2 linked regions of the Styela clava genome follow. The protein of the gene in region 1 purifies or fractionates together with the protein of each later gene. This does not show direct contact. Links are inferred from orthologs where the notes say so. Each region holds a gene or a part of one and is shown in the gene's direction. Other genes may lie near its edges. The genes, in order: lysine-specific demethylase 5A-like and histone deacetylase 1-like.

The links.
Region 2: the proteins of lysine-specific demethylase 5A-like (region 1) and histone deacetylase 1-like purify together in Drosophila melanogaster (affinity purification with western blotting; 3 studies listed by BioGRID, with this or other methods). This does not show direct contact. The link is inferred for Styela clava from reciprocal best matches to the Drosophila melanogaster genes Kdm5 and HDAC1.

Annotation. Positions count from the first base shown.
Region 1 is NC_135263.1:18,251,721-18,259,880, reverse strand, and holds the start of lysine-specific demethylase 5A-like, read left to right. Parts: upstream 1-4,746; 5' UTR 4,747-4,796; coding exon 4,797-8,160. Other genes in the region: uncharacterized protein LOC120341062, read left to right, coding at 1-278; DNA-directed RNA polymerase II subunit RPB3-like, read right to left, coding at 303-474, 547-700, 789-918, 1,191-1,319, 1,540-1,665, 2,724-2,846. UniProt on the Drosophila melanogaster protein: Histone demethylase that specifically demethylates 'Lys-4' of histone H3, thereby playing a central role in histone code. Does not demethylate histone H3 'Lys-9', H3 'Lys-27', H3 'Lys-36', H3 'Lys-79' or H4 'Lys-20'.
Region 2 is NC_135257.1:9,276,336-9,283,983, forward strand, and holds the start of histone deacetylase 1-like, read left to right. Parts: upstream 1-4,157; 5' UTR 4,158-4,268; coding exon 4,269-4,317; intron 4,318-4,902; coding exon 4,903-5,015; intron 5,016-5,419; coding exon 5,420-5,537; intron 5,538-6,349; coding exon 6,350-6,424; intron 6,425-6,808; coding exon 6,809-6,947; intron 6,948-7,212; coding exon 7,213-7,354; intron 7,355-7,629; coding exon 7,630-7,648. Other genes in the region: transcription initiation factor TFIID subunit 1-like, read left to right, coding at 1-1,136. UniProt on the Drosophila melanogaster protein: Catalyzes the deacetylation of lysine residues on the N-terminal part of the core histones (H2A, H2B, H3 and H4).

The DNA of each region.
Region 1 (8,160 bases):
GTAATGGTGAACTCATCATCTTCAAACGATTGGAAAATCCCGAGAACGAAAATGTCCTTGCACCAGAATTAAAACAAGAGCAGTGGAAAGTTGTAGATGGGTACAGGATGTGCAACAACTGTTCAGCCAGACGATGTATCAAATTACAAATGTGTCAAAAACTCTGGCGACAACGTGGCAGAAATCATCTGGAAAAAATTGGTCCTAAAATGTTCAACTATGTAGATCCACCTGAAGCCAGACAAACTAGTGATGCAGAAGGTGGTGGTACTTTATGACCAAAAGATCGTTTCTCAGCATCATCATGCGATAGTTAGTCCATCTTGCTGCAGTTCATGGCTTAGCTGTGTTTGGAGGTCACTGAGCTTTTTCTTAAGAACAGAGAGCCCTGACAGAATGATGTTCTCTGGTTTTATGGCTCCTGTAGATTCCACATTGACGAAAAATTTGTTTGCTTTGCCATTCGGATCAAATCTGAACAAAAATAAATTTAATGGCTACTGTAGCTCATTGTGGTTTTAATAAAACCAAGCCACGACAACTTACTCTGCTTGATGTCTATCATCATCATCTGTGAGATCACTGTGTTCGCTCCTAGGCCATTCTTCGGGTTTTGGATAAGTTGTGTGACGAAGTGCGTTATCTGGGTCATATTCGAAAGCACATGCACAAACTGTTTGCCATTTAGCATGTTCCTTTCCTATATTTATATTGAAGTTTCATTTATCCAACGAATGTTTCTCATCGAAAGCATTATACAGTAGACAGACATTAAGAAACCCGCTTACCAAATCCCTTTTTAGCATAAGCTTTGAATTTTAGGCATTGTCCTTTTCTTAATTTAACAATCAGTATGTCATCTTGTTCTCCATAATTTTCAACCTCGTCTCCTCTACTTCTCGATGTAACTGGAACAACCTTAGTTTAACATGCAAACGGCATTCAATTCATTTGTTACACAAAATGTTTATGTTTTATGCAATCACTATTAGCCAGCAAAATAATGGGAATGTTTTAAACTGGAAAAAAATATTTGGATATGATTATGACCGAGACATTGGGTAGAAAAGTCAGATAGTGTTTGTTCATTCCATAATAAATAAATGTGTATTTCTCATGAAACTGCAGAATAAATAAAATAAAAAAATAGCATCTAATGGATAATTTTGATTTCAAGAATACCATTTTACCTTTGGATTCATGGATATTAAATCACGAGTAGTAACTTGTCGCGTGCTTTCACTTGTACATTTGACATCGAGATAAAATTCCACTGAACATTCTGGGCAGAATTCATCGCACATACAATCTCTTGAGTACTGAAATCAGGATAAATACGTTCTTCAGTAAAATAAAAAATGATCACTTTGGTTTGAATAATCTTATGTATTAATTACCGTAGTACATCAACTAACCAGGTATGATACATAGAATGAGGAACAATGAGAGATAGAGAACAGACAAAATGACCTAATCGCATGGGCTGGCTATAGGTCCCGTTCAAATATGCTTGGTTGAATTTTACTTATTGCTATTTACCTGAATTTTGTCCACTATCTCATCGGATGTTAATGGAATCAATCCAATCCTATGTGATAAAAACTCATCATTCAATACTGAAGAATTTTCCTCAATTTGAATCCAGTCAATCGCAAGTGTGGGAACCTTAAAATATATTTAAATAGAGTAATGTGAGGCGGGCAGTCACAACAAACAAACAATTTTTCAAAGAAACATGTCTCATATAGAATATTAGAATGGATAACACTTCACTACTTTTTAATTCACCGATAGTCCAGTTCATAAGATTGAAACATGAACTCTAGTAATCTTTATTGTTGAGTCTATGCCATGCTTATAGACATTTGTATTTCATGCATGCGTACAGGTAGAAGAATGAAGTTATTAATGAATGAGTTATTAAAATGTGCAAAGGTTAAAAGTTGAGGATGACTCTGGGATAGCTTAGGAGTTGACGACTGTAATGGCCATGGAAGCAAATAGAAAGCGAGTGTCGGGTATGACTAGACAATGTGATTTATTGTGCTAAGTATTAGAAATTCGCTCGCCACCGCACCTCTGATTATCCTGTGGGAGATAATTATGTGCAAGAGGATTTCTAGACTCCTCGCCAGAAAAGGGTGGCTCCACGGCTTCCGATATGGGCAATAAAAAAATAAGGTAATTCAGCAGCTAGGGTACCGGTATACCCTTAAAGACTGTGTCGGAGTACGGTATCTCTAAGTCGTTCTATGTTACAACAAGATAGGACTTCAAAATTTATCCAGGGGGAGAGGATAGTCGATAAGACAGCTTTTTCATATTGAATTGCCTACATCACGTTAGTGCATTTATGTGGCATGTTCAAAACTCATATCAAGTTTAGGATAGGATAGGATTTACATATTTATCCCGGGGGAGAGGAAAACCGAAAAGACGGCTTATCCATATGGCGAACCACGGCCTCTCGTCCGGTTACCATTCCAAGTCGGGTATGGGATTAGTTATATTGTTTGTTTTCGGAAGCATGGACTTGGTGGTGGAGGAAGTCGTAACCGACCAGCGGTTACGTGAACCACCCAACGACGGCGAGGAGTCCAGCAATCCTCTCGCACATAACCATCCCTGCATGGGATTCGAACCTGCGAACCCAACTTTGGTTTAGCCAACTCTCCGGGTTCTCCATCCTGTTCCTCTCGGTTACCGGTATCAGAAATTCTCACCTCTGCAATAAATACCCGGCGGAGTGAATTTGCAACACTGAGATCTGTATCTTCAATAACAAATTTCACATTGTCTTTCGTAAGTTCCGTGATTGCGATTGTAGGCTGATTGGCGTAAGGCATTGTATTGTTTGTCTTCGATTTGTCAGCGCTAAACCCAGAATAATAAAAAAGCACACAATCGAACCCCTCAATATACGCCCCTGGAAAGAACAGAGCAAATGCAAAATTCGTACATAATTACAATTTGCCGGGTTGCATTTTTTCTATTTTCTGCTGAAATAACTTTTTTCTCATCTTAATGCGTCATTGCCCTTTTTCTTCTTTGTGTTTACGGACACCAAGTGGTCACGTAGCGAAAATGGCGACGGATTGTGCTCAGGGTCTTGTGCGTCTAATATTTTTCCTTTCTGTGTGGTAATTTATTTTAGTTAGAATAATTTTAAGTTATATTTTTGCCATGGATTAAATAACCGTTCGGCAGATTTTTCCTGGTATGAAAATCAGCGTAGAAATAATAATGTAGTAGATCCAATTTTGGCGATATGTCTGTGTGTGCGAGAATCTAAAAACTGTTTGGATTTTTTGCATTTCGCGCAACAATTTTGTGTTGAATTAAATAAAGTTTTTGGAATGTTTAAGTTTAAAAGGTATGCAATCTGATTGTGCGCGTTCTCTCGTGAGATCCTTTATATACGGCGATGTTGTGACTGTGTGATGTGTATTTAAATTCATCTACGATTTTCCGACGCCGTTCAGTCAGTCGTTAAGGAAGCGTAAAAATGCTATACGGGGTACTGAGATTTCTGAATTTATCGCCTTCGTTTAGCTGTATATACTGAAATTGTTGCTTCCTTATTATCTAGTATGAAATTTGCTCTTAAATACCTGCCTCAGCAGTGCAAAAGTAAAACATTTTTATAATATTAACCAGCATGAAGGATGATAAACACAGACCACCCTTATACTTCAGTACTTTGAAATTTTGAGTTTAGAATTGGGTTGAGTTTAGGCATAATCATTCGTAATATTAGTCAATTATAATCTTAATCAAACAAATTCAGGAGTTCGTTGATTTTAATAAAAATTTGCTTTCCTCATGACTGGTGTACCAATTCCATCTTGGTAATTCTTGTCAAATTTACTAAAATTTGGTGTAAAATGGAATGTTTACAACCCGAATCATGTCAACACATAAAAATTAATAAACTACAGATGAAAAAAGTATTTCTGTGATTGGATCAGATACCTTGTCCCACTTTGTAAGCTCCTTATTTAGGCTTCTGCTAGTTAGCCAAATCAACATATCAGGATGAATGATCATTTTTAAATATCACTAAATTGAATAATCTTTGTTCCAATAAATTGAAGTTGTAAGAATATTTGATGACAGTGATGGTTGAATATTTTTCCGGCTTTATTCAAAGCGAAGTTGTCTCATGGAAATATACAAAAACATAAAACTATTTACCGGTAAGCCTACCGGTACATGATATTCAATGCAAATGATGTATTGACAATTTAAATTTTTAGTAAAGCATTTTGATATCTTCTCAATGTGATCAAATTCTTAATTTATGTACAAGATTGTGCAAATACACAACAGAATTACAACTCAACCAAATGATTTTGTTTTTCAATTGACATGCTAAGGAAATTGAAATATCTCTTCCCGGCTCGGCGGTGTGGCGCATCATGCTAAGTGTTAGGAATATGCTTGTCACCGCACCTCTGATTACTGTTCGTGGGTTCCGATCTCATGCAGGGTTAGTTATGTGCAAACGGTTTCCGGACTCCTCGCCGCCATAGGGTGTTCATATAACCGCTGGTCGGTTACTGCCTCCTCCACCATCAAGTCCTTGCTTCCGAAAACTAATAACTGGCTAACTAATCCCATCCCGACATGGACTGGTAACTTAATGAGAGGCCATGCTTCGCCATATGATTAGGCTGTACTTTCCTCTCCCCCGGGATGAATATGTATATTCTATCTAATTAGATCCATATTAATTTTTCTGAATTTTGTTTTCATATTTAAAGATCTTAATAAGCTGCTGTATGTAAAAATTCAATATGTTTGATGATGAATTCTTTCCTCCTCCAGAGGCTCCAGTTTTTGAGCCAAACGAAGAAGAATTTGCTCATCCACTTGGATACATTGCTAAGATCAGACCTATAGCAGAAAAAGCAGGCATTTGTAAAATACGGCCTCCACCTTATTGGCAACCCCCATTTGCTATTGACGTAGAAAATTTCAAATTTACACCGAGAATACAGAGACTTAATGAATTAGGTATTCAAACTCGGATTCGACTTCAATTCATTCAGAAAGTAGCTAAGTTTTGGGAATTACAGGGTACTACATTCAGACTGCCACACATTGCCGGCTCTCCTTTAGATTTGTATGGTCTCCATGAGACCGTAAGGAAATTGGGGGGATTTGAAGAAGTCTGCAAGAACCGCCAATGGAATGCCGCATGTGTAAAGTTAGGAGTTGCAAAAAATTTTTCTGCAACAATAAAACAACATTATGAAAGATTGCTGTATCCATATGACATAATGGTTTCTGGCGTTCTTCTTGAGAGCCTTGATGGCTCTGGGAAACCACTTCCAAGTTTTTCAGGAAGATATGGAGGGAATAGCAAGGTAAAACCACAGAGAGAGCAAGAAGATGAAAGTGAAGCTGCCCGCCAGAAAAATAAAAGAAGAACTATAGATGATCCATCTCTTGTTGTAGACGTATCAAATAACAAAGAACTTGCCAAATTGCAGCTTTTTGGTGCAGGCCCAAAAATGGTAGGCCTGGGATTAATTGCTAAGAGAAGAAATCGAATAAAATCAGAAGAGGCAAATAAAAAAGAAATTAAAAGTGAACCTGCACCCGCTACTATCAAAATAGAACCGAAGAATGAGGATTGCAAAAATATATTTGATTTGATGGATTACAACGGGGAAATAGAAACTAAGATAAAGCCAGAAACTGCAATTCCTACCGCAACAGTTGACACAACCTCAATAAACACACGAAAGAAGGGTTCAGAACAGCTCCCATACTCCATTCTTGATACAATGGGTAATTGTAAAGTTTGTCTGAAGGATCACAATGACACTCAACTTTTACTCTGTGATGGATGTGATGACAGTTACCATACCTACTGTCTGATTCCACCATTGAACCAAGTTCCCAAAGGGGATTGGCGATGTCCAAAATGCTTGTCTAAAGAATGCAACAAAGTCATAGACGCTTATGGTTTTGAACAAGCAAGAAAGCAATACACACTACAAAGTTTTGGAGAAATGGCTGATGCTTTTAAGTCAGAATATTTTACAAAACCTGTTCACATGATCCCCACTGAGTTGGTTGAAAGAGAATTCTGGAGATTAATTGGATCAATAGAAGAGGATGTTGCAGTGGAGTATGGCGCCGATATTCATGTTCTTAATCACGGAAGTGGATTTCCTAGAATGTGCGACAAAGAGAAACATCCACTTTCTGCTGAAGAAGAGGATTATGCAAAAAGTGGATGGAATTTAAACAATCTACCAGTTGCGAAACAATCATTACTAAGTTATATGACTGGTGACATGTCAGGAATGAAAATACCATGGGTTTATGTCGGTATGTGCTTCTCTGCTTTTTGTTGGCACATTGAAGATCATTGGACATATTCTATCAATTATCTTCACTGGGGAGAACCAAAGACTTGGTATGGTGTTCCAAGAGAAGATGCAATCAAACTGGAAGAAGTAATGCAAAATACCGCACCTGACCTATTCAAGAACCACCCTGATGTTATGCATCATCTTGTAACCACTATCAATCCTTCAACTCTGATGAACAATGGTGTGCGAGTTGTCCGAACTAACCAATGTGCGGGTGAATTCATTGTTACCTTCCCCAGGGCATATCATGCAGGTTTTAATCAGGGATATAACTTTGCAGAAGCCGTGAACTTTTGTCCAGCTGATTGGATACCTATTGGCAGACAATCTGTTGCTCACTATCGCGCAGTAAAAAGAGCATGTGTGTTTTCACACGAAGAAATTTTATGTAAAGTCGCCAATAATCCTGACGTTTTAGATGTTCAACTTGCAGCTGCTGTTTACAGAGATATGCTTGCTATGCTGCAAGAGGAAAGAGAAGCAAGAAAGAAACTTCATGAGCTTGGTGTATGTCAAGCTGAAAGGGAAGCTTTTGAGGTTGTACCCGATGATGAACGTCAGTGTTTCATCTGCAAAACAGCATGCTTTTTGTCCGCAATTACATGCCCATGTAGACCAGATCACCTTGTCTGTACGTTCCATGTCAACAGGCTCTGCAGCACTTGTGATCCAAGTAAATTTATACTTCGATATAGATACACATTGGATGAATTACCTCCATTGCTTCATAAGATGAAATTGCGAGCGGAGTCTTTTGATACATGGACTACAAAATTAGGCGATGCGTTTTCAAGATTTGAAAACAAGTATACATTACACGAATTGAAAGAATTGCTTGAAGAAGCTGTGCAAGGGAAATTTCCAGAAAATGATTTGCTGCATCAATTGCAGTCAGCTGTACGGGAAGCCGAAAAGTGTTCACGAGTTGCCCAACAGCTTGTTGTGGTTAGAAAGCACAGGACTAGGCAAAAAGAAATTCATTCCACAGCTGGTATTATAACTCATCCAAATACTTGTTTATTGACGCTGGAAGAAATAAGGGCTTTTTATCTACAACTATTAGGTTTACCATGCACAATTCCAAACTTGGATCAGGTTTCTGATTATATAAAGCGAATTGAAAAATTTGTTACTCAAACTGAAATTATTCTGCAAGAGGAAGAACCTTGCAGTCATAACATTGCTGTTTTGATAGAGGATTCACTAGATTTTGATCTGGAACTTCCACAGGTGACGTTACTACACCACGCACTACAACAAGCAAAGTGGTTAGAAGAAGTCAGATCTTGTCTCCTTTTGGACGATGAAATAAATGATTGTGATCCTCCACCATCATTGATAACATTGGAGCAATTAAGGAAGTTGATAGATTCTGGAGTGTCTGTGTCACCTAGGCCTGCTGTTGAACGTGCAATGGCTGAGTTGCAGGAACTTCTCAATCTTTCAGAAGCATGGGAGGATAAGGCTAAAAGCTTTCTCGAAATGAAGGAAAAAGGCAGTCTAAAAACAGCAGAAGTTATCACATCCGAGTCCCAAAATGTTCCAGTGCAACTTATACATTGTGCTGAGCTACAGGAAGTGGTTGAAAAAGCAAACATTTGGGAGAAAAAGTTGCATACCATTCATAATCAGGATTACTATCCATATCTTGAGGTTTTGGAAGCTCTCCTTCTACAAGCAAATTCTATGGAAGTCAAACTGTCTCAGTTACCAATTTTAAACACACAAGTTGAAGCAGCACAAGAATGGAAAGAGAGAACTTGTCGAGCTTTCC
Region 2 (7,648 bases), on another chromosome or scaffold:
TAGACAGTCCATTAACAAAGACTGCTATTCATATGACTGATTATTGTGACTCAAGATTCAAAGATTTGGAAGATAAATTGATGCGCCTGGAGAAAGCAATAAATCCTCTGCTTGATGACGATGACCAAGTTTCTTTCAGTTTTGTTCTTGATAATATAATCAGTAATAAAATGATGACCATTTCAGATTCATGGCCTTTTCATAATCCTGTCAATAAGAAAATTGTGCCGGATTATTACAAAGTTGTTGATCATCCAATGGATCTCGGCACACTGAAAAAGAATGTTCAGAAACATATGTATCAAAATAGAGGACAGTTTATGGAACATGTTGAGCTTATTTTAATTAACAGCTCAAAATTCAATGGCGCTGAATCAAAATTTACTGAAACTGCTCGACAAATCGTTGATGTTTGCAGAAATACACTCGAGGAATATGATGAGCATTTAACACAGCTAGAAAATGATATTGCTGCTGCAAAGAAAGCGGCAGAAGAGGAAGCAGAGGCTGGAGCTGATGACGACGTTGTCATGGATGAAAACAGCATGGACATTGGTGTGGATGAAGATAGTAACTCCTCCTTCACTGCAATGCAGCAAGATGACAGTAAGAGTAATACCATGTTCACCGACATGGAAGATGAAAAAATAGATGTGGAAAGTGATGTTCCCACTTCATCGAATGATTTTGTTTCAGTCGCTGCAGCTCAAGCTCTCGGAACTCAAAACGACTCTAACACAGCTGATGGCATCGAGGCCCAAGAAGGCAAGAGTCTGCTTTTGGAAGATTTGCTGATGTCGGATGGAGAAATGTCTGCAAGTGAGGATGAGGAAGGCAATAGTGAAGATGAAGACGAAGCAAATCCATTTGCAAGATCTGAAAGTGAGGGCAGTGATGATGATCAAATGAAGGAAAGATTCCAAAAATACTCAACAACAGTTCATCAAGATGAAGTTATCAGAGATAGTGCCCCAGACAATGCAATGGATGTTCCCTCTGATTTCAGAAGTAAAAACAAAAGTTCAACTAAAAAACAATCATTGACTCTGAGTTCAGAAGGCGAGGATAGCGAAGCTGGCAGTTTTGTATCTGTCGGTGGAGAAGTTGTCAGCGAAAGTGAACTCTCTGAAACCTAAATATTATGTCCTATTCTTAATTATTATATTTTTCACCAAGAAATCTAATCATTTTGTATCTAAAAATGAACACTTAACAAAGTATTTTGTTTGTATCTACCGTAATATTATGTGAAGAATGATGAAAATGTCTTTTGGGGAAATATCAAAAAAGTTTCAAAAGCCCAATGCCATATTATGACAAATGATTATAGTTCAAATTCGAAGTGCATTTTCATTTGTTACCCTGCTCAATATCATTAGGGAATTCCATATTAATCTCAGGCAATGGCGGTATAGTGGCAATATCAGGCTATTGCAGACGTTTGTATCATATGCCATTGGCGTTCCACACCTCACATTCTTTGTTGCAGATGCAAGGACTTGGTGGAGGAAGACGTAACCAACCGTTAGTATAGTGAAGCACTCGCTCAACGGCTGTAGGAAATTCAGTCCTCTGGCACGATATAACCCCACGGGATTCGAGCCCACGCAAAGTAATAAGAGGTGCGATGGCAAACGTATTTCTATAAATTGCATGATGTAAGAACAGGTACCAACCGCCAGTGTCAATCTCGAACTGTCAACTTAGTATTTTATGACGCTAAGATTACTTTGACTACTTGAAATAGAACGCACACTTGCATACAATTAGCACCAATATTGGGGGAAACGAGTGATGTCTTTAGTAGGATTTTAAACACTAATGCTCGTTATCTTACGAATGGGCACACAGAGACAATCTTATCAAAGAAATTATCTGGCGTACTGGACCCCCATCCGCACATCTGATTACTCTGCGTGGGTTCGCATTTTCGAATCCCATGCGGGGATAGTTATGTGCGAGAGGATTGCTGGACTACTCGTCAACGTAGGGGGGTTCACGTAAGGCTGGTCAGTTACGGTTTCCTCTACCACCAAGCCCATGCGTCCGAAAACAAATAACTAACTAATCCCATATCCGACATGAACTGGTAATCGGACTAGCGGCCTTCCTCTCCCCTGGGATAAATATGTAAATCTTATCATATTAGTTTTTTAATGTTAACCTAACGTCAGTTGCTTATTCCGGCATCTGAATCCTTGAATAAAACACAAAATGGTTGTAAAATATATCGAGTGAATGAAGGACCCTTTGTGGCCATAGCCAGGCCATGCCCCACCTCTAAAATATTCAGCTGTTTAATGCAATTTCGAGGCATTTGTGATGAGACATAATAATCCTTGCTCCGAATACCCCAACCAGATAGATGAAAATGCTTGCTTATATATATATAACTTGAACAGCGAAGTAAGCCCGTAGAGAGATTATTTAAGATATTGTCTTCTAGCAGTCTTTATCTCGCCTTGGTTGGAGCAAAAGGCACGAGTTAGCGTCGCATTATGTCATTATAAAAAAATTGGTTCCCCCTCCAAAAAACAATTTTTTCATCCTGGGACCTTTCATGTAGGCTAATTGTTTTCTTCATTGCAAATTGGTAAAATATGTGTACAATCAACAAAAAGCTATGTGATTTAAAATTAATTTGAATTACATGTTGGCGATGTTTTTCATGGTCGCACTTTCACCTTTACCTCAATAATTACGATCTATGCAGGAAAATTCCCACTAAAAAAGTGGACAACTCTAGCCGCTCCATTAAATTACAACCAGAAATAGAAGAACTTTGAACATAATTTCAAGGCACTTCTTTAAAAACATTGATCTCACAAAGACAAATTGGATATAATCAAAATTGAAGAAACACGTGACTTAACTATAATATAAGGAAGATTCAAAATGTGAAGTTTCATTTTAGAATATTCTATGCACTATTTAATAATACATTGGCAGTAGGCCTATAACTTTCAGAATTTGTTGCCATTTCCTTAAATTGGTTTAATCTTAGCTTCATGCTTCATTAAAAAGAGGAATGGTTTGATAAAATTATATAAGTTTTAATTTGTGTGTACAATATTTTTTTTCACTTCACTTCGTTTATATGCTATATTTATCGATTATCCAACATTTTGCGGTTTTGAAACATTTCCGCTATTGCCGTATTTAAAACTTTTGGCGCCTCTTTTCATTTTCTGATAATAATTGTATGAACAGATTGAAATTTTGCGTTCAATGTCCTTACTATAACAGACCTGATCCTAATCTATCAAAGATTTTCAACTTGTATGTCGTAAAATGATGTAGGCCTATGAACGAACGATAGGTCGTCAACTGGTCATATATGATTATCCGTATCAAATGTGTATATATTCTCACTGCGGTACCCGAACCAGCGATATAAATACGATATTCGATCTCTATCACATAAGTAGAATACTTTTTTTCATTAGGTTTTTAGCTTTTGTTCTACTTAATATTGATAACTAAATTTCCAAACCATGCCGTTGTTCCATATTTTCTTCAAGCTAATGAATTAAAAATAAAAAAAATCGTATTACTGTTATGCCCATAATTCATATGTCAAACCATATTTACGGTCAAACTGTGATTTACTTCACACAACATATTATTGTTGCTTGTGGAACTTTTCTTTGTGATATTGTGACTCATCTTTTATATTTTAACTTGTGTATGCACATAAAAAGATTCAGGACAGATTGAATGTGTGGATTAATATATATACTAATTAACTAGTATAATAATATATTTGGTATAGAATTCTTAATTCTTGGAATATTTGCTTTAAAAAATTTATTCAAATAATTCCCTTATCCCGAATAGACAAATTTATCTCTCCTATAATCAAATATTGTTTTTTTTGCACATAGTGTATATCGTTTTTTTTGTTATATTTATTGAGAGTGTGGTATAACCGTAAGTATAACAGAACCTGTGTTATTAATTTGTTTGTTAATTTGCTTGTTTTGGGTGATAACTGACTCAAATGACCGTAAATGGTTGTATCGTTACCACCCAGTCATCTATCAAAAACTAAATTTTCTCAATTTGCTATCATATATATTTAATCGTTTTCTGGTTTGACGAAATAAATAAGTTCTCTCTCTCTCTCTCTCTCTCAAAAGCACTGCTGATATTACGATCTGGCAACGCTACATATCGTTTAGTTTCCTCCGATTGTCGCTGTGGTGTGGTCTGCGCGTCTGTCTCTGCGTGAATTATTTGTTCGTTTTTAAAGTATTTCGGTTGAAGGAATGGCGCTGACGAATCCAACAAACAGAAAAGTTTGCTATTATTATGATTGTAAGTATATTTCCAAAATTATCCAGGTAATAGCTGAACTATTCACTTTTTATAACTTCGCTTGGCTTTGTCGGAGGTACGTGTGCCAGTAGAGCCCCGTGCAGTAATTACCATGTTGGTTCATTATTTCATTTTTACTTTAAAACTGTGATGACTGTGTGATATACGTTTGTCGTATTTAGTGGAAATATACAACATTACCAAATATTAATTCATAATGATCAGAAACCAATGTTTATTTCTGGAATAACTATTCTCATGAAGAATGAGTCCAGACAAAAAGATGTGGCTTTCAATATGATTAAACTGCGTTGTCAGATCTTTTAGTCTCTTTGATACGATATGAAATGCAACTACAATCTTGTCTCGGCAGTATGACACATCATGCCAAGTGTTAGGAATACGCTTGCCATCGCATCTCTGATTATCCTGCATGGGTTCACAGGTTCGAATCCTGTTGGTTATAATTATGTGCAAGAGTATTGCTGGACTCTTCGCTGTCATAGGGTGGTTTACGTAACCGCTGGTTGGTTATGGTTTTCAAATATTCCATTTAATTTTCATTTATCAATTTTGTTCGAACAGCTGATGTTGGAAACTACTACTATGGCCAGGGTCATCCAATGAAACCACACCGAATACGCATGACCCACAATCTACTTTTAAACTATGGACTGTATCGAAAAATGGAAATTTTTGTAAGCTAAAAATTTTGTACACTCACATTTATAGAAATATGCCTCCAAATAGAATTTGAAAATATTGCTAAAACAAAATGTCACTTCGAAAACCTCACGAATCATATTTTTAGTTTGATATATTTGTTTGAATATTTTTCCTCTTGTATATAAAAAATGAAACAAATTTATATTGAGGTACCTATATTATTAAAATATTGGATTTCAAACTTTTCAATGAATGGAATCATTATTTGTGTAATGCATTTTGGGTGTTGCAACCAGTAACCCATGTTTGGCTCCCCTTCCATTTGTCAAACCCAATAATACAGTGGCCATAAGCTTCTCTAATTGCAGGTCAAAAATATGGTGAATTAATAAAATTCATAGTCAGTGCATTGTTTATTCTTTAATCTATTTCACAGCGACCACATAAATGCAACAGCGATGAGATGACAAAATACCACAGTGATGATTACATAAAATTTCTGCGCAGCATAAGACCTGACAACATGTCTGAATATACAAAACAAATGCAGAGATGTAAGGATTTTCTAAGACTATTTAATAATACATCTACACTAAATTTTAATCATATTGTATCTTTGAGTGTGTAGTGCAGGGTCGTCCTACCTGTGGCCCACAGTCTACATGTGGCCCACCAAGGAGCTTTGAGTGGCCCGCGCTGTATTTTCGAAATTAAATATAAAAAAAAATTGAGTAAAACTTCCATTTTCAGAATGATGTAGTTAATATGAAGATTTGATACAAACAATTTGTTAATTTTCCTGAAATGCGCTCTGCTAGCCCTTTCAAACGAGCCATGAGTGCCATTTTGATTCGAAATCAACTGGAAGGTATCGATACATAAATAGTAGCTTACACACTTGGGCACAGATGAACCATGTCAAATCCCCTGTGAGATCACTAATTTCTGAAAGTCATATGGAAAATTCACTTCGCATTGCTACATCGTTCATTTCAGCGAATATTTACTAACTTGTTAGCGAAAACAGTGCCAAACTTCACACTAAAATATCTATGTGTAGAAAAAACTTTGTTGACTTTACTGTATCTTTGTTTTTTTATTGTTCTTATTAGTGAGAAAGTTTGGTGCGAGGGTTTTGTTTGTTTTTTATTAACTTTTAGTCAGTGTAACAAAACTAGAACATAATTACCATGTTAAGTGGCCCACGCAATTATTAGTAAACTAAATGTCGCCCGACGGCCAAAAAGGTTGGTCGACCCTGGTGTAGTGTGTGGCTTTGTGAATTTTTGGGACAATTATACCTAAGAAAGCATAATTTGAAACCCTGTGATATTGCTTCAAGAAGTGTGATAAATTTTTTTTTCAGTTAATGTCGGAGAAGATTGTCCAGTTTTCGATGGACTTTATGAATTTTGTCAGTTATCTGGTGGTGGATCAATTGGTAAGTCTAATATGTAATATATATACATACAAGTATCATAGCATATTAGAGCAGAATAATAAGTCCTATATTAGATGATTTGTTATGAAGATGTGTACAAAGTAAAGTGGTTGTATTGGAATAACTATATTGGCATCACTGGTTTTGAATAAATCTAGCTCAATCAACACATTATTTAATTTAAGGCCAAATCTCACCCTGAATGTAAAAGCTTTTCAGACTGAAAAAAATTTCTAGGCATCACCAGCTTCTCACCATTGTGTTTTCTCATCATTCAGCGAGTGCTTGTACTTTATTCAAAAAGGAGATATTTATACGATAAGTTATAAGATAAGTTCAATATACCAAGTCTTTCATCTAATATTCTGTCTGGTATTTTTATAGCTGGAGCTGTCAAAATTAACAAGCAGCAAACTGATATTGCAATCAACTGGGGAGGTGGACTTCATCATGCTAAAAAATCAGAAGCTTCTGGTTTTTGTTATGTTAACGATATTGTGCTTGCTATATTAGAACTTCTAAAGTGAGTGTAGTGAATATGAATTGTTGATTTTTAGAGATTATTATTGAAACAATAATTTTAATGAGAGTACGGTAATCAAATTCAAACTGTAACCAAATTATCTAAATTTCATTTTTTTTTGTTGAAATCACAGTCAAATAAAATAAAAGTGATCTATTTAGATTTTAGAATATTCAAAATTAAAATGAATTGAAATCAAGAGTTTCAGAATACCAATTTTGTTTTATGTGTAAGAATATACTGAGACAAAAAATATTGTGTATAGGTATCATCAACGTGTTTTATACATTGATATTGATATTCATCATGGTGATGGTGTGGAAGAAGCCTTTTATACAACTGATAGAGTTATGACAGTTTCATTCCATAAGTATGGTGAATACTTTCCAGGCACAGGCGATCTCAGGGTTAGTATAGATTTTATGCTTATACTTTGTATTGCGCATTGTAATGCATGATTTGTAATCAGTTCTAGTGAAAGTTTAAAATAAAATCTTTTGAAAACCCATTGTCCATTGAATTGTTCGACTCTTGAGTGGCCATATGGCCATATCCTATGAGATCCAAACTTCACCTAGAAAGTTCATTAGAAGAACACCGATATAGAACTTGGTGAAATATAGAGCTATAAAAGTCATTTGTATGTATAGTTTATCATACTTGAGACATTTTCTTATTTCAGGATATTGGTGCAGGCAAAG